Linked DNA regions of Alligator mississippiensis. The protein of the gene in region 1 purifies or fractionates together with the protein of each later gene. This does not show direct contact. Links are inferred from orthologs where the notes say so. Each region holds a gene or a part of one and is shown in the gene's direction. Other genes may lie near its edges.

Evidence for each region.
Region 2: the proteins of MAD2L1BP (region 1) and LBR purify together in Homo sapiens (co-immunoprecipitation; 3 studies listed by BioGRID and IntAct, counting the BioPlex papers as one, with this or other methods). This does not show direct contact. The link is inferred for Alligator mississippiensis from reciprocal best matches to the Homo sapiens genes MAD2L1BP and LBR.
Region 3: the proteins of MAD2L1BP (region 1) and MAD1L1 purify together in Homo sapiens (co-immunoprecipitation; 4 studies listed by BioGRID and IntAct, with this or other methods). This does not show direct contact. The link is inferred for Alligator mississippiensis from reciprocal best matches to the Homo sapiens genes MAD2L1BP and MAD1L1.

Annotation. Positions count from the first base shown.
Region 1 is NC_081824.1:168,617,761-168,625,402, forward strand, and holds the start of MAD2L1BP (MAD2L1-binding protein), read left to right. Parts: upstream 1-4,603; 5' UTR 4,604-4,718; coding exon 4,719-4,952; intron 4,953-7,280; coding exon 7,281-7,642. Other genes in the region: GTPBP2 (GTP-binding protein 2), read right to left, coding at 1,238-1,411. UniProt on the Homo sapiens protein: May function to silence the spindle checkpoint and allow mitosis to proceed through anaphase by binding MAD2L1 after it has become dissociated from the MAD2L1-CDC20 complex.
Region 2 is NC_081824.1:180,570,191-180,577,589, forward strand, and holds the start of LBR (delta(14)-sterol reductase LBR), read left to right. Parts: upstream 1-4,379; 5' UTR 4,380-4,488; intron 4,489-4,774; exon of another isoform or gene 4,775-4,850; intron 4,851-7,399. UniProt on the Homo sapiens protein: Catalyzes the reduction of the C14-unsaturated bond of lanosterol, as part of the metabolic pathway leading to cholesterol biosynthesis.
Region 3 is NC_081836.1:51,118,684-51,126,537, reverse strand, and holds the start of MAD1L1 (mitotic spindle assembly checkpoint protein MAD1), read left to right. Parts: upstream 1-4,834; 5' UTR 4,835-4,920; intron 4,921-4,958; exon of another isoform or gene 4,959-5,505; intron 5,506-6,262; 5' UTR 6,263-6,268; coding exon 6,269-6,418; intron 6,419-7,854. Other genes in the region: MRM2 (rRNA methyltransferase 2, mitochondrial), read left to right, coding at 1,098-1,387, 2,856-3,289. UniProt on the Homo sapiens protein: Component of the spindle-assembly checkpoint that prevents the onset of anaphase until all chromosomes are properly aligned at the metaphase plate.

The DNA of each region.
Region 1 (7,642 bases):
ATGCTGGCTCCCCCAAATCAGCAAATATAGAGAGAATCCCATTAGACTAGAGGGGGTGGAGCTGCTGGAGCCTGCTGAGCCAGGAATGTGGGCCTAGGAGCTAGGGGTATGTTCCCACGCAATCTGGCAGATGAGATATCCACAAGAGATGGGAACAGGGCATTCAGGGTTGCATAAGGAACAACACTCATCCTTATGCAACCCAGTAACTATGAGGCTATAAGGTTTTTCCACCTGCTGACAGGAGGCCAAGCACTGCTGTGCTGATGTCTGCACCCTCCCGGCAGGGCATCTTTAGGTCAGGCAGGTCAAGGAGCAGGGCTGTCTCAGACCCCACCGGGGTGAGGGTGGCGGGGGGGGGGGGGGGTGAGCCCAGTGCCCCCCTCCCCAAGGGGCCAAGCCACAATTCAGGCAGCATGGAACTGCATCTTAACACATCCCACCACAATCATGGCAACTGAGCCAACTTGCAGGGACTGCTTCCAGCCTGGTTAATTGAGAAAACCATCCACCTCAGTCCTCCATGCTCCCAGGACTGGAGCTGAGGGGAGAGAGGCTAGAAGAGACAGAGGTCATGGGCATGGTGGGGCAAACTCTTTCTCTGCAGAGATCTACCGCTTAGGCGGCCACCTCTCAGCTGAGGCCAACCCTTCCCTGTGCGGCCTGCCCCAGCTAGGGATAACGCCTCCGCCACCTCATCACGTCTTGCATCGCTGCCAGGGCCCCTGCTCCCTCTGCTTGCCCACTGCTTTCAGGGCACTGCCCAGAATCAGCCAGGGGGGATGCCACCCCCACGAAGCTGCAAATGACTTATGTGCATGTGTACAAGTGCAGACACATGCACACACGTAGATGTACATGCATGTACACATAGCGGTGCCTGTACACACAGAGGCACATGCATGCACACACGTACAACCCTGTGCCCACAGAAATGTGTGCACGCCTGTACGCGTGCATGCCTGTATCACACATACAAGTGTGCACATGCACAGACATCCACCTACATGTGTATGCGCACATAAAAGTACACGCACATGGCCGCATACACACAGAAGTATGCACACACAAAAGTGCACGCACATATGTATGTACACGCACACACGTACAAGCAAGCACAGAGCTACAGGCGTGTACACGTCCACCCAAGGGGCACAGCCACGCAGAAGCGCACGTACACACATGGGCACACACACGCGTACGCGCGGAAGCACACGCAGGGCCGGCCCGCACGTACCTCGGGCGGCAGGTAGGGCGGGTTGTTGGCCTTGCCGCCCCGGCCGCGCCCGCCCTTCTTCTTCGCCTTGCAGCCGCCGCCGAGGCCACCGCGCCCGCGCAGGGCTCCCCCGCCGCCCCCCGGCGCCGCCGCCCGGCAGCAGCCGCCGAACAGCTCCGACACGCGCGAGTCCATCCTGCCCCGGCCCCGGTCACGGTCCCGGCCCGCGACGCACTGCACTGCCCGGCCCGGCCCACCCGGGCCCTGGCGTCAGAAACAGCCGCAGGGCATCACGGGACACCGAATCCGCAACACCTTCCCCTCCGGACTACACCTCCCGGCATGCCCCGCGCGGCCCTCTGCCGCCACCGCTCCCGGCGGGCCCCGCGGGAGCAGCAGTCCGGAGTGGTCGCTCCCGGCACCCCCCAGCAGCCCCTCTGAGGCAGCGGCTCTGGCGGGCCTACAGTTCCCAGCATGCCCCGGGCACCCAGGCCCCCTGTAAGGCGGCACCCGCTGCGCCAGGGGTCTGATGGGAGATGTAGTTCCGGGGTGGAAGGAAGCAGGCAGGTACTAGCTGACCTTTTGCCCACTTGCCCGGCTACTCAGGCTCCTGGGTGGTGAGGAGAGTATGCTTTGAGTGGCAGAGCCGTGCCGCACCTCAGGCCCTGCACGCATCCCACAGCTTCAGGTATCCAGGTTGTAGCCGTATTAGTCTAGAGGAAAAAGCAACGAGGACTCGTAGTAGAGATGATATCTTTTATTAGACCAACAAGATTTTTGCAATTAAAGATTTTTTCTCTGCAAAAATCTTGTTGGTCTAATAAAGGATATCATCTCTACTACGAGTCCTGATTGGTTTCTCCCACAGCTTCAGCTTCATTCATGGCCGTGTGGAAATACAGAGGGACACAGCTCAGGCAGACTCTGAACATAGGCACTTCATGGTCACGAGAGGGTTTCATACTCCAGGCGAAAGGTTTGGGGCCAAGAATGTCCTGGCATCTCTGCCAACCCTTGCCTCTGCCACTGACTCACAGTGGGGCCTCAGTCATATCACTTGGCCTGGCTACTGCTTGGATTGGATTTCAGCAGGTCTCATTTTTTCAGCTGCCAAACAGGGAGGACAAGTATCTGCTGCCCTGGCAATACTCTTTTAATTAGTGTTTGCACAGCACTTCTTGGGGTGTTGCTGACAGGGCTAGAAATAGTCTCACACAACCGCGCAGGAGCTACTGAACTACAGCTCCCATCAGGCTGTGACATGTGGACTCGTTCCCTTTCCCCCTCCTTTTACCTTGAAGATCATGCCCAAGGAGGCTGGAGACATGCTTTGTTTGCAAACACAGCTGACTGCAACCACACCCTCTCATTGCAGTTTTTCTCCTCCTCCTCCAGGACTGATCTATTACGGTTGGTGGTAACCTGTCTGCCCCAGGGAGGAAGATCAGAAGTCTCCGCCCCTGTTTAGGCACAGCTCAAGTGGAGTCAGCTGTTGCGTGCGACAGCAGCCCAGGCACAAAAACGGCATGTCACTCTCATGACTGCAACATTCCAGCTGTATCTTGTAAGATACTAGCACCATAATTGCCACAACTAATTAAAATAATGAGAGGGATGAAAACAGAGACAATGAGAGGAAGTACGTAGCAGGAAGATCCATGCATAGGTAAGAGATGGCTGCAGAATCCAGGGGTCCTGCCTAGATCCTCTCATCCTTAGCCACATGGCTACACATGGATTTTAAGTCTCACAACATATTTTTTATAGGCAGGAACACAGGTGCTAAATTTATTTTTGCTGAGGGTGGGAGCGCTAAGATGATGGACATCTGATGGTGAAAAGTTTTATGCAGGTGACAGACTTCTTCATTAGGGGGCCAGGGCCCTTGGGCCCCCACATGCTTAGCACCAGGCCAGGAGTCCACAGAAGACCCAAACACACCTCAGTGAAAGCCATATAATACAATCCTAGTCTCCACTTGTGTTTCTTCGCCCACTGAATCTAGGCACAATGACTTAGTCCAATACCTTTTAACCCTGGCACGAGCAAAAACTGCATTTGGCCACACCACAGATGAAGGCAAAAGGTGATGAGTAGGGTGACCATATGTCCAATTGTAGCTGGGACAGTCCCAGATTTCAGGGGCTGGTCTTGACTGGCTGTTGAGAAATGGGTGTCCCAGAAACACAGGGGCTTGGAACGCAGTCTGGGTAGGAGTTGGGGTGGCATGGAGTGATTTGCAGGTGGGCAGTCATTGCTGGCATGGTGACTCGCCCCTGCCAACTTGTGAGAGCACGAGGAGGGGCAGTGTCCCAGATTTCCCAGATGATGTCCAGCATTTCCTTATGGTCAGTTTAGTCAGGGGGTTTCACTAAGCACAGCAAGCGGGGTCCACAATGACATCTTTTCTGCAGACAACCTTTGTACCTGGAGAGTAGCCCTGTGAAAGATTCAGGGCCAGTGTTGTTTTGGTCTGTGATTTGCAATATCTTAGAGGTTACAAGTGGAGCATCCTCTAACCTACCATTTGGGGTTTTTTGCTTTTTAAATGTCCATGTCCACTCGGCAGCTCCTCTAAGGCCCCTGCTACACATTACCTATATTGCACAATTAACAGGTGAATCACACAATACATTCAGGCTGGCCCTTGCACTTAAGGCAGGCCATAAGTGCAAAGGATTTATCACACCATTAACACGAATTGTGCAACAAATGTCAACTGGCCACACATGCAAAATCATTACCACCGGATAAGCATGACTCCAGTTATAAAAGGAGCCAACCAGCTCTACAAGTCAGTGCTTGGAAATGTGTCATCATTCTATTAGGGCCCTGCTATGGGTTGGAACGAGAGCTGGACAGCAACCGGCATGGACTGGGGGCCCATTTCCAAGCACTAACTGGATAGCTGGTTGGCTTCTTCTACAGCCAGAGGGTCATTTTTCTCACAAGCTAATGACTTGGCACCAGAGGCACTGAGTGTGGGGGCCACGGGCCCTGGACCCCTGGGGAAGAGGGCTGAAATGTGTAAAACTTTCCACGAGCCTATCCTCTTTGGCCCACCCCACCATTGCCAGCGCTCATGATTTTTGGCACTGCATTCAGAAAGGTGAAAAACGTGGCTCTTTCTTCTATGGACATTTATATATATGGCTAAAAGAAAGCTCTGTTTTTCACATTCCTGAAGCATCGACTTTAACAACAACGTCAAAAACCCTGAGAGTTGGCAATCCTGCCACCCCACGGTGAAATTAAAAGTCGGTGCCGATGCTTGGCCGGTATGGCTAGGGTACACCTACTGAGCGCTTGACCACGCAATAAGCATCACGTGTGTCAAGGCAGCCGGAGCTGGTTTCTCTCCAACTTTCATTAATGCTAAACCCCGCACCAAGATGGCGGCCGCCCACTCCTTTCCGTCGGGAAGCGGAAGGGCCGCGGCTCCCATGATGCCTCGGGGCGGCGGCCATTCAAATCGGTGGCTGGGGCCGGCGGCGGCCAGGAAATGGCGGTGCCGGGCGGCGCGGGGCGGCCCCGTGACGGTGACGTCTCTCTGCCCCTTGCGGGCGAGCCGGGTCCGGTGTCGGTGGTGTTCCCGGGTGTGGTGACGCGCGAAGGCTGCTGCCGCTTCGCCTGCGAGCTGCTCAAGCACGTGCTGCACCAGCGCCACCAGCTGCCCCTGCCCTACGAGCAGCTGGCCCACTTCTGCCGCCGCCCCCGCGCCGCGCCGCCCCCGCCGGTGAGTGCCCCCCTTCCCCCCTGCCGCACGGGCTCGCACACAGATGGACGGACAGACACGGACACAGGCGCGCGCCCCCCCCCCCCGCCTCCATATAAACCAGGGCTGTAGGATTGCTGTCCGGGTGAGGCAGAGGCCCCTGGGGCCTGTTGCATCTATTGCATGATTCTGTTGGTGACTCGCCCCCTAAATACAGATGGTCTCCTGATGCAAAGCTGTTATCCCACCCACCGTAGGACTCTCCAGCTTATGCCAAGAGCTGCCTTGCCTGCTGTCAAGTTAGTGCTTAGAAATGGGTCATGAATCTTAGGTTTCTATCTGGCTTTTGTTTGAATGTGTAGGAGGGCCCTTGGAGACTAGTGCTGTCAGGTCTTGCAAGATTTTCATGACTTGGTGGTTGCTTTGTCCGAGGTAATCGCTTTCCAGGGCTGAGGCAAAGGAAGGGGCTTGGATCCTGAAGAAACTTGGGATGAAAAAGCCCAGAGGCTTGACTCTCCTGTGCTCTGCTCCTCTCCCCTCCAGGGTGCTGGCACCTGTCAGAGGCCCAGCTGCCTTGTGCTGCTCTGAGAGCACTTAGTGCTGTGTCTTGTATCAAGATGCTCTCCTCCTTTTTCAGATTGTTTCAAGCTTTGTTAGTTAGCAGCATAAAACACCCATGGGGTTGTATTTGAGGCATGTCCTATCCTCTGAGGACGCTGTGCCCTCAAGAGGATACAAGAAACTCTCGCTGTTTGTGGTTTCAAATATTTGTGGTACACCGAGTATTCACCTTATTACAGTGCAAATGCTGAACCTGTATCTTAAATACACTTACAGGAAACCCTTGGGAGCTCTGTGCTTGCTCCTGCTGCCGCGCTCCCGCTGTCATCAGTGCAGCTGTGCCTCCTCCTCCCCTCCCCCCCCGAGGGGGCACGCGCCATTCATGAATGCAGTGCTATATTTGCGGGTTTTGCTATTAGTGGGGATATCCAGAAAGTATCCCCCACAAATGGCAAGGGTCTTCTGTACTTTTATTAGTAACCCAGATATCTGACCTTGTGAGCATAACAGCTTTTAATTATAGTGAAATCTCTGCTGCTTTCCCGGAAAAGCCAAGGAAGGCATCCAAACATCATTGATCTAGAGTGGATAGATTTGAATCCTTTATTTGCATCAGTAGTTGAGGTTTTAAAACAAAACATTTTTGCTAGTGAGGATTCATCCCATCTCTCTGTATTTAGTTAGATGGCTTGACATATGCTTTTTTGGATTTTTAATTTTTTTTTAATTTAAAAAATGGCAAGTAAAGAATTTCTTTCTTTAATCGTACCAAGCTGCACCAATGAAGGTAAACAAAACATTTTAAAATTTGTTAGTTTAAAAAGACAAGCTGTTGTAACGTGCCTTTTTAAAAGGCTTTTTAATAAATGGAGGAAGTACCTGTAATGACCAGGAACAAATTACTTCAACTCGTCTTTCAGGGTTTTAGAACTAGCAGAATTCTCTCCTCTCATTTCACTTTTTATTCATTAATCAAAAGAGGAAAACAAGATTTCTAGGTTTATAAATTCTCAACTTCTTTCTTATCTTTGAATTCAACTAACAATCCTGACAAGAAGGGAATCACTTCTCTGTGCCTGCAGAAAAAGCTACTGCTGTTGAAGATGCTTTAGTACTTCAGTATATTCTGGTTAAAGATGCTTAGCCAGTGACTTCCTCCAATTCAGTGTCACTTGGTAGGAAAAATACTGCTTGAACACTTTTCTAAATGACTTAATAGAGTAGAGTAAAGCTTGGCTTTGATATGGGCTGTTATAACTTGAAGTGTATTTTAAAAATAATCCATTTTTAAGAGAATCTAACTGGAAAAACGGTATATTTTTATTTAAAATGGGGGAGGGGGGATATCATTTACCTTAATGCATTTTTCTATTCTGACAAAAAATAATCCACCGTCAGGTCTTCTGGTTCACAACCAGAATTACGCTTTGCAGTTTGAATTAATAGAAAATGTTTCCTTTTTGTCTGCTTTAAAAAAAAAAAAAGCAGTCTTTTGAAAGAACAGATATAGTAGTGATCCCTGTATAATAGGGACCCCAGATTTTGAATTAGAGAATATTGTAGAATGTGTGTGTTACACAATAGGTTAGCTGCAGTGCAAAGCAGCTCTTGTCTTTGATATGGCCAATTTTAAACAAAGCTGCCTGTACTCCCTTTTTTAATAAGAACTTAAACTTTCTGAAGACCCCCTAAGAAGTAAGGAGTGGGCATGCTTTTTTTTAATTTTCAAACAGACATTAACAAAGATTTCCCGCCACTTGCTCAGAATTACCAAAATCTTTCTTTCAGGTTGAAGATGTGATTAAGAAGCTGCATTCCACAGACTTGGGCAGCAAAAAGTGTCAGCAGGCGTTAGTGGATCTGGAGGGGCTGTTCCAGCATTTGGAAGCCATGTTCCACCTGACGCTAGTCCCCCGGATCCTTATCCTGCTTGGAGGCAATGCCATGAATCCTAAGGAGCTCTATGAGATCAACTTGGAGGGCATCTGTGTGGGTAATGCTGAGGAGAGCCTGCAAACACCATCCTGTGTTCGTAAGCTCTTCCACTCGCTCTTCCTTGCAGATGTCTTCAGTGAATTACAGGCTCTCCCTGTCATGGGCACCACTGTCATGGTCCAAGGGCATCGTGACTGTGGCATTGACTGGTTTCG
Region 2 (7,399 bases), about 12 Mb from region 1:
TTCAAATTAGCTTGTTTAAAGTTATCTCAGATATCTTTACTTGACTGTTTGTGGGGATAGTACCTAAAATAGGTAGGATCCCCTTTTTGTAGAGTTTTACAAATTACAAACAAAATGTTGAATTGCAGTTAGATGTGGACAGGAAACCAGTGCAGCCTCAGAACACAGATGTAACAACCACATGAAATTCCTGACATAGCCCACCACTTCAGCATTTCCTCTTTACCCTCAGGCGCAGCCTTTGGCAAACTGCATGGGGAGATTTTAGGATCCATTGTTTCTACTTTACTTTTAACGCATTCTTCTGTAGAGGCATTTCCCTTGCCCTTGCAGAAGGATGGAGAAACAGCCTACTTTCTGTTCTGTTTCCGTCTATCCCCTCAACTGTGGGGCACTCTCATGGTTAATGATCACCAGCTCAACACTGTAGGTGGGTTCCCTCCAAATACTGAGTAGTTGTTCATGGGCTAGGGAAGGCATAGGAGAAACTGTCAGAGGCGATGCTGCTTTGGAAGCATGGGCTGTGAAAGTACTTTTGGCACCTTGCAGAATCAGACTGGGGACATTGACACAGTCATGTCTGTCTAAAAATGTTTACCTGCAATTAATACCTGAAAATATCAAAGTTAAAGACTGAAGGTGGAAAAACTTTGTTTCAGTCTGTTGATTTTCCCAAACAGGTTTTGTGATTTGCACAATCGTTTACATAGCAACAGGAGAAAGAACAAGAGAAACCTAAAAAAACATATGAATGTAAAACCATATACATTTGCAGTGGGGTTCAGGGAAAAGTGTGTTAGTTGCTCTGACTTGCAAGATGTCAAGTTCTTGATGTCCCTTTAACTCTTTGAAATAACTATTTAACATCTATATCAGCAGGTTAATTGACAACATAGAATTGAATGAAAATTCTGCCAGAGGACTAGTTCTCTACTCCAGGTCTGACAAGTCTCTAAAAGACTTACTTTGAAACATTTATTCTCCAAATGAGATTGGAACTGGAAATCTCCACATTTAACATTAAGTGTATGCCTTACTAGTAAGATTAAGCTGGTTCCCTCCAAGGCTTACATTTGTTAAAAAGTACAAGATGTCCTATTGAAAATAAACTCTCCATAGCTGATTTATAGAGGAAAAAGAATGAACAGTTCAGAAATAAAATCTCCACTTGAGGTCAGAAATGTGCTGCAGTTGCACTGTTCTGTGCAGTTACATGGTATCTAATGAAACTGAAAAAGAATAATATCTTAATAGGATTAAAACCCCAAAATTCTAACGGCTTTGTTTAAAAACCTGTATTCTGACAGTTCTGTGACACTACTGTAGTTCTGTAGTGTGACTGATTTTAATTTAAAGCATAGGTATTAGAAAATAAAGTGATGCATAGGATGATCTGATAACGAAAATATTAATTCACTATTCTAATGTAGTACTGTTTGCACCTAGGTTTTCATAGAACTGGAGGCCTGGAAAGTAGAAAACTTCTCTGAATATAAATTTGAATATGAAAGTGAGTATGACCTCTGTATTTACTTTCTGTTAGTGCTAAAGAATCCAAACTTTACTAGTGTGAATATTTGTAAAAGTAAACTTTTTCTATCAACTCTTTGAGTTTAAAAGGAATTATTTTGTGTTCAACTACAATAATCACACAGCATATTGGGTATTAAGCATATAGCTCATACAATGCAAAATTAATTTGTATAGTCAAAGGGGCAACTTTAAATGTTGATTTGTCAGTTGCACATATATACTGTTTTTTATGGGATGTAGGTATGGTTTATTGGCAGGGGAGTAAAAGTGTTGAATTATGTATCAACTATAATATTTGCAACATGACACTTATACTATACTACTTTGTTCCTAATGGCATGTCTCAATGAAGTTTGGTGTGTCATTTTTGCTAATTTTCAGGATTTTTATCATGTGTTTTGTTATTGTGTCTATTTTCTGTATTTTGTAAAACTCCAGCATCCAAGATTTGTTAGATTAGGTTAGAATCTTGATTTGTGTGGTTTTTTTTTTAAATGTAAACTTCAACATGTAAAAAAATAAAGACCAAGTCAGAAAGTGAATCTCTGATTTTTTATTTATTTTTTTTTAAACCTGACTTAATTACTTGGAAGCCTAGCTCCTTGTTTCGGATGACTGAAATTGGCACTACTGTTTGTGTGCATAAACTAAATAAGTAAAATTAAAAGTGTAGCCTCCTTGGCAGTCTGGCTATAGAGGTAAAATATTGGTTAGGCTAGAGAATGGACTCCATGTGAGCCCAGACAAGTGTCTTAAACTCTCTAGAAAGTCAAAGGAGCAGAGCTTCCAGTGCAGTTGATTGCAATATTTCTAGATGCAGAAAGGACTTAGGGTTTTCTGCAAATACTTGGAACAGCATTTTAATTCAATTTAAAGGCAGAAGTGTGTGTGCATGTGTGTGAGAGAGAGTTGCTTAATTACTGGTAATAAATAAAATGCAAGTTACCCAGTACATTTTGCTGTCTTTTTCACAATGTACTTCTGCAGAGATGATTAAAAAAAACAACATTGTTTAGGCTTCCTGATTACAAAATTTTCTAGTTACTTTAATGTACTCTTGTGGTAAAGCTGTGGTAAAGGGGACCAAAACATTATTGTAAATTTTTAATAAATTGTATTTATAATTGTATTCCTTATTTAATAATGTTTAGTATAATCCACTGTGTTTCATTCAAAGATGTTTGTGCTCTGTGGAGTGAGATGGGCCCCAAGTATTCTCTTTTAGCTTGTAATATTGTTTTTTAAAAGGTTACTTTACCTTTTATAGAAATAATTTTTGATCCTAGGGCAAAAAGTTTTAATGTTTTTATTAGTTATATGTACTTAGCAAAAATGTCTTAAAATGAAACTATAACTATAGTTCTCAATGTACCATGCCTATATGTGACCACCCTCACCCATAAAAGCAAGAGAAAGAAAGAAGCTTATTTCATTTCTTTTTGAAGATGGAAATGATTATTTATTTCCATGTTTTAACTGTCTGTTCCTTGGAGGCTGGGTCAAATACCAAGGCTTTGATCTTAATTTTTAAAAACAACTCATGGATTGGCCTGCATTTACCACCTAGTTTGGGTCTTTGCTAGTTATTATTGTTAAAATGGGAAATCTCAAAATGTAGTCTGGGCATAGGGACTAAATATTTTGTTAGTTGGCCCGTGAGCCTACAGACAGAAGTACTGGGTTATTTGATGCCGTCTTGCCTATGCTGTCAATGTTGCTGCCATCAAATGAAACATCTGTAGTTGGAGTATAGGCAGGAATCAGGTGTTTCTAATACAAACGTCTTTAAATGTAAAAGTTGTGGGAAATTTCTGGCCACCAACCAGGACAGTGATTCTCAGCCAGACTGCTGCCAGATCCTTTGAGGTGATATGCAGATAAAGGCAGGCTCATGCTCTCCCTGCCTGGCTGCTCCTCCATCCACTTTGAGGAGGTAAGCACTCAATAAGTACATTCGTTTTTTCAAATGGGTTGCCACCCGATTCACAAAAGTTACAGAGGGCTGCCTCCAGTCTTAACAAGATAGTGTTGTTGATCCAGGCTCTAACCTCAGCTGTGGTTTGTGCTTGTTACCATACTGCCACTCGTTTCCTGTTTGCTTGTTTAACTTAAGGTCAAAAAAAGCCCTGGGTGACTGCCTGGTTGATTTAGGTAAGGCCTCTTCGGTTCTGCATCCAGTGGGGTTAGGCTATCTGGCAGGTTAGCCCCACGTCCTTCCCAAGTGCTCCTCCCATCCCCTTCACCCCTCTGCTCTGCTATCTTCTCCCTGCCCCTTCTGCTGCTCTATCTGCTCCCCTGCCCCATGTGACCTGCTGCTTCCTGCCTTGTCTGCTGTCCTGCTTTCTACACACTGCCTCCTCTGCTACTCCCCTGCCTCATCTGCTCTGCTGCCCTGCTTTCTACATCGTCTGCTGCTCTGCCATCTGCTCCCTGCCTGTCTGCCGCTCTATCCGCTTCCTGGATCGGGGGAGCGACCAATTGTCTCCCTCTGCCCCATCTGCTGCTCTATCCGCTCCTCGCCCGTTCGGCTGCTCTGCTTTCTGCTCCCCGCGGTTCCCCTCCTCAACCAGCCCCCCACCCCGCCCGGCTCCCCGGGCTGGAATCCCGAGCGTGCGCGCGGACCAGGGCAAGCTGCGGGCGCGCGAGCTGCGACCGGGACAGCGGGGGCGGGGCAGGCGGGGGCCGGGAGAGGGTGGAACGCGCCACCTCCTCTCAGCCAATCCCGTCCCTCGGCCCCGGCTGCTAGCCAATCCCGTGCCGCGCCGAGCTATTCAAACCGGCGCGTGGGCCAATAGCGGCGCTTGGCGCCGGGCGGCCCGCGGGGAGGGCGGGGCCGGGCCTGGGACGTCGCGCGCGTCCCTAACCGTCGCTCTGGGCGGTTGGTTGTTTGGTGCTGCTGGGCGCGCGCTCCGCCGGCTCCGGCTCGGGCTTCTCGCGCAGGTGGCGGCGGCGCAGGTGAGCGGCGGGCTCGGCTCCCCTCCCCTTCCTCGCCCCCACCCCTAACCCTACCCCTACCCCCGCCTCCCGGCAGGGGGGAGCGGCCAATCGCCTCCCTCTGCCCTCTGCGGCCTGCGCCGCGCTCAGGCGCTGCTCCCCGTCCCGGGGGCCGGGCCTCGGCCGCCTCCTCCCCCGCCCCGCCCGGGGCTCCGCTCCCCGCCCGCTTTGTTCGGCCCTTTCGGCGCCGCAGCCCGGGGGGAGGGGCAGTCCCCCCCCGAGGGGGGTGGGGGGAAGAGCTGGACGAAGCCTTGCCTGGGATGATGTAGCTGGGGATCGCCCTGCTGCCAGCAAGGGAGTTGGATTAGACGTGACCTCCTGAGGTTTTGTCCCTTCCATTTTCTATGGTTTTGTATAACTGGTGAATTGTGTAATACATTGAGGCTAGCCACGGGTGCCAAGTAAGGATCCCACAATCAAAAGGACTCTTCGCTATCTTTAAAAAGTGCCAACCAACTCTAAAGTTGTTGCGTAGCAGGTTTTTATCTAGCTGTAATTGGCAGGTGTAGTAGGGCCCAGAGTCGGACAGGCTTGCGAGTGCAAGGCGTTCTTCCTCGGGTCTCCCAACTTTGTCCCAGGTCTCCTGGTGAAGACTCTTTAAACAGTCCTCGTGTGCTGGGAATGATGTAGTCTGTGTCAAAGTTGGGCACAGCTTTGTTTTTATAGAATTGGGGCTGAGTAGTAAATAATACTCATCGCAGGTGATGCATTAGGAAGCTAGTCTGACTGTCCCAACTACATAGTTGGTCCTATAACGGAAATCACTTGAAGAAGTCCTCGCTGCTTTATTTCTTGCCAGATGTTAACATGTCTTTCTGTGTGGTTTGCATCAGAGAATCTTTGCTGACTCCTTGCATGTTAGTCATGCCTTTACCAGACTGGTTCATCTGTCCATATTTACAAGCAAAAGAGATTTGGCATTCCAGTAAAAATGTTGTTTTTTGCCACGTGCCTTTTAAAGTTTTTGGTGGATATATAAACATTTATAATCTGACTTAATAATATTAAAAGAGTATTCTACTGTTCTGAGCAGAAATTTAAAAAAAGTTCATTGCTTGGGGTTTGTTTTTTTTTTAAAGTTGTGCCTTATTGAATCTCTAATGAGCACATTTTTGACATTGCATAAATAATACCATACTGTAATTGTGGAAAGCAGTAGGCTGCTGTCATGATCAGGTCTGTAGTTTTTCTAGCCTTCATTTGATGCTGGCATGGAATGGATGATTGTTTACTACTAAGCCCCCCAGTCCTACAAAAACTTAGATGTGTCCAGCTTTGAAATGAACTAGATTCTTCACAGTACCTGGTGACTGTTTAAAGAGCGGGATGTGAGAGTCCCTTTGTGTTATGAATTTAGTATTAGAAAAAGCTTTTTTCTTTCTAAAGGATGGATACAGTATTACTTATTTGCTTTTAAGTCGCACTTGGACTGCATCTTACTGTGCAGCCTGTGGGGCATGGTTCCTGTTCTGAAAGTGCCACTTTCTAAAATACAAAGTACAGTGTGAAGATCAGTCACCAGAGAACACACGGAGCAAGTGCATATACAAGTGCAACTCCACTAGTACCAGCAACAGTTAGAGCAGTAGCGCGGGGGAAATGCTTTGAATGCTGAAGCTCTAACTACATTGGTTTACTGTTTAGTCAAGTGATGTTCACATGATGGTAAATGCCAGTGAGTGCATTGCTTTTGTAAGATAAGTGGTCAGATAAGTTATATAAATAACAATGATCCTAAAATTGTTCTTTATAGCTTGTTCTCATTGAATGAATGCAGAAGTTCTCCCTTAGATGTCAGTAGCTATATCTGGTAGAACAGTTGGCAATTTTCTCCTTATCCCTGTGCTTTTATTTGCCTTTTCTTATGTGCAGATGGCTTCCTTTTCTGGCGCACAGCATGATGCATCAGTGTTCAGCTCTTCAGAGTTTGGCCTCCAAACTCTAAGGGGGTTCCTTTGGAGTACTTCCCAACTCTTTTAGACAGGAGTGGCTATTTCTTTAGGTTATTTTTTTCTCCTTTTAGTTGTATACATCTGTCCTGTTAGAGAGATGGGCTATTGAAGAATAGTGAGGGAGGTCAGTATTTTTGGAAGCATTTTCAGTGTTCTTGTGGAGAAGGGGTTGTAGCTCCTTCATCACTCCAGAGCAGCAGTGTTGCAGTAAAACTTTAGCTGCTTATGAATATAATTTTGTTGGTAGGGCTCTTGCATTGAAAACTGCAAGCTAGTGTTTTCCTGTCGCTTTCTATCCTGACTAGTGTAAAGTGTAACCATTAACAACTTGTCCAAGGGAGGGCAAAAGGTGTCCTCTTATGTGGGACTTCATTGTCTCTGGGTTACTTCACTAATAGGTCAGCCAGCAACTCGGTGACAGTTTTTCCTTCTAACTGGGTCTGAAACTTTAGATTGTGCTCAATTTATGGAGCATCCACAGCTTAGTCAAGCATTACTCAATCTTTTTGAGTTATCATCAGCTTTGGTTTCTGAACTCTCATTGAAATGGTTGAGTGGTAGGGAAATGCAGAAAATCAGCCTTATACATTCAAATAAATTGGACTTTGAGTATGTGAAGTCAGTTAACAGTTCTTTTAGAACAGCCTGAGGAACCCATTTACTGAATATTGGGGGATCTGGTGACAAAAACATGCCTTGAAGCATGTTGAATAAAATGTCATAGATATGCAGTTATAGATAAAGAGTACCCAGTATACATGTGTAGGCCACAATAATTGATACCTCCTGCTTTACTGAAACATTTCAGAGCTGTATACTTAAATTGTTAGTTTATGGTGAGCTTGCTGCTTGAAATGCATGATTTTAAACTCAAATATAATTCTTAAATAAGATTATATTCTTACGACAAATCTGTTTTT
Region 3 (7,854 bases), on another chromosome or scaffold:
TGGCCTGGCCCCCAAACCCGAGCTTCCTGGAGCGTAACGGCACCGGTACAGGAGCGCGGAGGCTGCCCCGATGCGCTGGGGTTCGAGCACGTCAGAGCAGACTTATAGATTCATAGATGTTAGGGGCTGGAAGGCACCTCGCAGCTCATCGGGTCCAGCCCCCCCGGACCTGATCGAGTCTGCTGGAGTGTGGCAATTGCTGTGCTGCAGCAGCCTCCTGCATCTCATGCATCAGTGTGCCTGCACTTAAAAATGGCACTCGAGCGCTTTATGTAAAGCTTGTTGAACAAGCTTTAGTTCAAGTGCCCCTGCTGCCATTTTGAAGCATGGGGACGCTGATACATGAGACATGGTGATGCTTTAAGTGGAGCGGCTCCACTCTAATTAAAGCACTCCCCCTGGAAGGGGTAAAAGTGTCCTAAGTGCTGAAGGCTGCAAGTGGGAGAGGAACAGTGGAAAAAGCCCTGGTCTCACTCAGTTCCCTCTCCCTTTCAGTGTCCCCTCTCTGCCCCTGTGTGACACAGGAGATTGGGTAAGATGGACCTATGGTCTGACCCTGTAAATGGCAATTCTTGCGTTCTGAATGGGCTCCGTAATGGGGATTCCTGAAGACTCCTCCCTGGCTTGCCCCTGGGGCTTTACAGCTGAGGGCAAGCAAAATTGGAGGGCATCCGAACCCCAAACCTCTGGGCTTGGGCCTGTAAGTAGGATGCCCACCAAAGGTTTGGGAAACATCTGAAGCCCCAGATGGGGGTGGGAGATGTTTGCTGGTAGTAGGGCCACTTATGGTTCTGGACTGACTCCCAGATTTGGGATTTGTTTTGGCTAATTTGGCTTGGACTACAGAAAAGTTAAAAAACCCCCCCAAAACTTTGGTGCTGCCACAGTATAAATAGTGTCTAAATATGAATCAACTGTACAGACCCGAGAGTCTCAAAAATAAAACAGTACATCTTCTTAAAAGACTGTGTTGTAGATGAGTGTAGTGATAAATTGGAAGGACTAAAGTCAAGATGGGAGTTAATTATGTGAAAAGGTGGGGTTCTCAAACTTGCAGGGGCTATGCACTAATTGGTTTCCTTGTCTTTTTTTCGTAGTTATCAGAGGTGGACAAGCCCTTTGCTTCTGTGCCAGAGGTTGCACACTGCAGTGGTATGTCTGAAGAGCAGAACTGGAACAGAGCACCGCTGGCTGGCACGGCATTTGAAGGACCCATTTGTGAAGGCAGTGAAACAGCAGAATTATCGTTGCCGAAGTGCCTTCAAACTGCTGGAGATTGATGATAAACATCGGGTTCTGTGCCCAGGGCTTTCTGTGCTAGACTGTGGAGCTGCTCCTGGGGCGTGGAGTCAGGTTGCTATACAGAGGGTCAATGCTTTGGGCACTGGTAAGTGCACAAGCTTAGCTCCCAAATGTAGGAATTAGGCAGTGAAATGCCATAGGTGATGGGATGTTTCACCAGATACAGACTTGGCAATTTCAGGTATCCGGTAGTTGAGAGAGAGAGGAAAAGACAAAAGGTCAGACAGGCAATCACTTGGAAGAGTGGAAATGCTAATGTCCTCCAAAAGGAGTACAAAGGGCCACAGCTATTTTAATCTAGAAAGAGGAATGGGCCAAATGATGCCAGCCTGCCATAGCAGACATTATGCCTAAGAAATCTAGGGCAGATGGGCAAAGGAATTTTCACTGGTGTGTGGGAAAGGCAAATACATGTGAAGTTTCTAGTTAGGATGCGATGAGAAATCTAGGGACATAAAAGACTGCAAGAGAGGATGTCTTTGCATATGTCAAGTGAAGCTGTGTTGGAACCAGCCAGCATAAGCCTTTACTGATCCTTGGGCATAGCCTTATTGCAGGTACTTGATCAATATTTATGGTAATCTCATGGTGTGGGTGCGATTTTTGCTGAGGATTGTAACACCACTGTCTAACATGCAGTTAATGTTTTGTTAGAGTGTTTGTTTAAAGTCACTGTACAACTACTGTTGGCCTTTGGATTTAATAAAAACATTTTGGCTCAATTGATGACTGGGTCATCTGAGTTCCAACACCAAAGGAAGTAGCAGACAGTGCTGACTTGACCTGGAGTTTGTGGAGATTGTCTTCTTTCAGTAGAATCAGGGATGGTGTAGATAGTTTAGTTGCACTTCAGTGTGTCTTGTACTCAGCTTAGTAATTTAATTATATAAAATTTAAATCAACTACAAACTTTAGATTTTTTGTAGCCATGCTGGGAATAGAAAGGAAATACTTCCTTGGATGAGCACATGACGCCTTCTCTAAGGAGTAAAAACCTGGGAAGAAATGTATTGCAAGGGGGACTAAACTTTTACACTGAGCCACAGTACAAGGGATGGTCATTGAGAGGGTAGAGAATAGGGCTGGGAAAGAGATTTTGTCTCCATCCCTGAGGGCAATTTGTGTCTGTGATCTCAAGCAGGTAATTTAACTTCTCTGCCTCTATTTTTGTTTCTGAAAAATGCCCATGGGTGTTGTGGTTTAATTTGTTAATGTTTGTAAGGTGTAATAGGGCAAGTTTTGTTGTTATTGGCTGAGTGCAGAACTGCCCTGCTGCTGATATATCTGGTATAGATTAAAACTCTGGGATATAGATTTTTTTAAAACAAAAATATTTATTCCAGGTCACTGGGTCTTGGTGGATTAACCAGGTCAGCACATTGGTCATGGATGAGGTAGATTGTACTTTGTCAACACATGATGTAGGTTTATACATAGAGTACTGAGCTACTGGATACATGCATTATTAGCAGCATTTGTAATAACCTTGATCAGTTTGAAAGCAGGGGCCTGTCTTGTGTTTTTCATTCTTTCATTAACATTTTGTTTCCTAGATGCCAATGCCCCTGTTGGCTTTGTCCTTGGAGTTGACCTCCTGCGGATTGCCCCTCTGGAAGGAGCAGTTTTCCTCTCCAATGCTGACGTGACAGATCCAAGCACGCTTAATAAGATCCAGGAGCTGCTTCCTTCAGGGAAAGCAGATGTTATTCTGAGCGACATGGCACCTAATGCCACAGGGATCCAAGAACTAGATCATGAGAAACTGATTAACTTGTGCTTATCTGTTCTGGATATGTCCTCAAGCATCTTGCAGCCAGGGGGGATCATGCTCTGTAAATTCTGGAATGGAAGAGATGCCCAACTTCTCCAAAGCAGGCTGATGGAGCACTTCTGCAACGTAAGAACTATAAAGCCTCAGGCCAGCAGGAAAGAATCTGCAGAATCCTATTACTTGGCAAGAGGGTACAGAAAGACTGTGAAAAACTGATTATGTCTGCCTTTCTCGCATGGGTTGTCAGTCATTGATTGGACGCTGGGACTTGGGGTAGACCTAAAGAATTATCCATTTAAACTCTTACGTTTTGGTTTTTTTGTTAATCCTACTTTGGGAGAATCTGCCATTATTTATATTGTGCCATAGATATCCAAAGCAAGACAAGGTTGCTGCTTCACTGAGCTGCTATTCTAATTATACCAGCAAAAACATCCAGTCTTACTCCGACGTGGGAGGAGGCTGTTGTGAATGGCATGCAGTGGCATGAAAGTCCACAGGGATAGAGTGATGGAAAGAAAAATAAAGCACTGGTTATAGTTTTGTTGATGTGTGTGTTTTAAAATTACTACATTATCTTTTTAGTTATATTTGGAATGGAGCATCGAGTCAGTTGCCATAATGGGAGTGAAAAGGAAGAGGACTGCCAGCCAATTTTATGTGCCCTTCATCTTTTCTGAAGGCTATTGCAATTTATTAGAACATTTAGAAAATACATAATCATTTAATGGATCTCAAAATCTGCACTGTCATGTAAATCTGTAATGGGGCATTCAGAATATATGACTGTGATCACAGAATATTACAAGTTGATGGTTGTGCTGAGTTATTACCAATGCATGTGCCATGGTCACACTATATTTAGAAACTGCTATTTCATCAGATTGCCAGTGTATTACAATAGAACAGGTTCAGTGCCACGGATGAGGTCATTTTCACTCCTATTAATAGGAAGGCCCCTATTAGATCAATGACGCAAGGTGTTATTAATCTCCAGTAAGGAAAATGGTACTGGCAAATTTTTGCCGTCTGGTAGTGGCTGGAATTTTGTTTGTTGGAATAATTTCTGCACCTATTCATTTATTTTTTTTTAATTATTTTTGAAAATAACTATTTTGATCCTCAAGCAATCTGTTCTTTACACTCCCTGTCAGTGGGCCTTCAAGCTGGGGGTGGTAGCACCACTTTTTTTTTTAAGGTTGCCTAATGTTTCTGACTTAAATCCCATTTTATTTTGTTGTTACCAAATTTACGTTGCCCAATTGCATGCATGTGGCCTGAAAGTTTCCATGTTGCAGGGCTGGTTTCTTGCAGTCACAGCAACGAGCTTGTCAGAGTCGCTCGTGGACCAAATGCATGCAATCTGAGCAGCCAAATGACTTGCCCTTGGGCTCATGGGACCTCTGCTGCCAAGCTGGAGGCTTGACTTCCTCTCCTGCATTACGGTGCTTCATTCAATCCAGCCTTCTTCCCTGTAATAAAGGAAGGGTTTTTGAACCCAAAAGCTTGCTTAATAACTATTCTCCAACCATTTGGGTTGGTCTGATAAAATATATCAAATTCACCCAAGGAACCTTGTCTCCCTGTAATAAAAGCGTTTGATCTCCCTTGTATGATGCTGTAGGGACACCCCCCCCCCCCCGCTCCTCCTCCCTCTATAGAGTGATCACTTTGGGAATTAGTCGCGTATACTCTCAGTATTACGGTAGGAGAGCGCTCGGAACATCCTCATCCCAGCTTTACGGTAGAGGGCGCCAAGATCTCGCGGGAGGTGTAGGCGAGTTCTCGCGGGATCTCGGCGCCGGGCCGAGGAGGGAGATCCAAGCCGGAGACGGCGGTGGCGGCGGGTGAGCGAGCGCGCGCGGGGCCGGGCCGGGCCGGGCGGGGCTTCCTGCCATCCCAGCGAGCCAGTGCAGCGCCTTGCCTCAGTGCACTGCACGTCTGTGCCCCCCCTCCCCCTCCCGGTGCCTAGCATGGCCCCCCAGTGACTGCATTGCTGTGCCCCCGCTGCAGCCACACCCATGCAGTGTAGTGTAGTGCACTGCACGCCTGAGCCCAGCCCCCTCCCTCCTCACCCCGCTGTTGGGGGGGCGCCGCTGTGTCCCCCCAGTGGCTGTGATACCCGCCTCCGTCCCAGCTGCGCCCGTGCCTGCTTTTAGCAGCAGTTGCTAAACTTTCTCTGCTGCTTTTTAATTTGGAAACACGAAGGGGCGCTGGTGCTGGGAAGATCCACGCCCCCCGCCGCAGCGCTGCGCTGGGGCAGCCCAGCGGGCTCCTCCGCCGGCGTGTGCCCGGTGTCGCTGGGACCGTGTTGCCCTGTGCGAACGCTATGAGCCGAGTTTATTTGTGAGAAGCGTTGAGGGTATTTTCAAACGAAGTCAACGTGCCCTTTGACATCTTCATCCTATCCTATACTTGTAACGTTTTCAAAGGTACGTAAGTGAGTTAGGAGCCAAAATTTCCGTTATGAAAGTGACTTAGGCACTTGGGGAACTCAGATTAAATGAAAGTCAGCGAATGTTAGGGTTTAAATTCTTTTGTGAAAATGGGCATTAGGGCCCAGTATAATTTAGGTGGCAATATTTACTACTAGTTTGGATGCAGATCAGGTGGTCTCTCCTATCCCAGTCTGTAGTTAAAAAGCACTGAGAGGAAGCATTAGAAATGCTTTCTATTTGCCAATGTTACGTTCCAAGGATATTCTTGTCTCCAGTATTTGCCTTCTGCTCTTCTCTGTGTTATGTAGGATGAATACTGTGGAAATAGATGCTGCTTCCCCAAGCAGCGGAAGTGCCAAGGTACAGATTGTGGCCCCGTAACTCCAGTCTAATTAAATGCAGGGGGAGTTTTGAATGTGTCAGTGTGTGGTGCCTTCTGACCAGTGGGTTAAAATTGTGGGGAAAGATGTGTTGAAATAAATGATACTACTGAGAACCACGTAAGGTAAGGGGTTGTACCGTAGTAGTCTGAGTTGATGTCACAAATCTACAAGCTTTTTCTTGGTGCTTTGTGGATCAGCGGAGGCCCCAGTAATGGCCTGTGAATCTCAGCTGTGGCTGACAATTTTGGCTTTGCACTCTGTAAATGAGAAGGCTCTAGGCTCCATAGGAACCCAGGAAGGGGATGCGTTTTGTAACAGCAGTGAGTAGAGAGTAACTTGCCCTGAATGTTTCACTTGTATGTTTCCAGGGAGCCATGGAAAACCTGGAAGATAATACAACTGTCTTCTCCACTTTGAGGTCTCTCAACAACTTCATCTCACAGCGCATGGAGGGGACATCTGGCTTGGCCACTCCAGGATCATCTCAAAATACCTTGCATATGCAGTACCAGCAGAGGGTACAGGTGAGACACTCCTGGCTCGCTGACAGCAATAAGTGTTTGCAGTGTCAGTGAGAGTTCATGTGATTCTTGGGCTGTCCACTTGTTCATTTAGGTGATTGTGCCTGTTATCTATTTAACTTATTCTCCTAACAGTGTCAATAAAGGAGATATTTTTAAAGGTGCAAATTCCTAAGTCCTTAATTTTTTAATATGTTTGTTAAGGACATGATTCTTTATCTTGGTAAATATTCAAAGAGGTCCTTTGAGTTTCCTTCCTGTAGGTTATCTGCAGGCCAAATTAGGATGGTAAATTGTGAGGTGGTTTCATCCCACTCCATCATAAGCTTAAATGGATAGTTTACAGGCAACCCCCGCTTAATGCTGTTTTGCTTAGTGCTGTTTTGCTATAATGCTCATTTTAAATTGATACCTGATTTTGCTTAGTGCTCAGCGAGTTTCATTATAAAGCTCACGGTCGCTGTTTTGGGGTCATTAAAAACAGTTGCGGTTGCCATTTTGGGTCATCAAATACTTGTGATTTCGCTTAACGCTTAGTTTTTCAGGAACCAATTAAGAGCGCTAAGCAGGGGTTGCCTGTACTTGGGATGAGGGCAACCACTTTTCCCAGGTCATCTGCAGAGAACCCAGTGGGAGTTAAGTAGCTACTTTGTTCCCATCTTTTTCCTTACACAGCTGACCAGTCTTGTTTCTCTGTTGTCCCTTGTCTGTCTGTATCTTTTATCTTATTCTTAAATTGTGAGCTGGCTTTGGGCAGGGGCTTCCCTTTTGTTATGTATTTGTACAGTGTGTAGCAGGCAGGGGCTGCCTCCTTATTATGCATTTGTACAGTATGTAGCAAGGTGACCCAACTTGCCTGGGGAACATTGCTGTTATTCACTCAATTTGCTGAACTCGCTCCATTGAGGACGTTCATATGGACAAGAAACGTAGCCCAAGAAATGTTAATGTTTCATTCGCTAAATTACTCACGGAGAGTATGGTGATAGGCACTGTACAATGCCTAATATATATTAGACCACTGTCACTTAAAAGTTTCTGTGTTCCAGAGTTTGATGTGGTATTCTGTTAAGTCTGAGTGTAAAGTATAGATGCATTGATCTTTATTTAACCCTCCATTGCATTTCAAATTCTAGCTAATTTTCTGATTTCTGGATTCGTCTTTTAGTTGTGCGTTGCTGGTTGCGGAAAATCTGTATCCCAGCTTTTTGATTGAACATATGTTCAGTTTGAAGATTTCCTACAGACAAAATATTCTGTTACTCCCTTGCATACTGTCCTGGTAGTAATTTTGCATGAAGCATGCTTTCATCGAAATAAAACCAAAGATTGTGCCAGGTACCTCCAGGTGCACTCCAACTTGCTACCTTGCTGAGCACTTAGATCTCTGATTCCTTAGCTACGTGGTGTTTCTTCTTTGAGACAGCCAAGAGGATCTG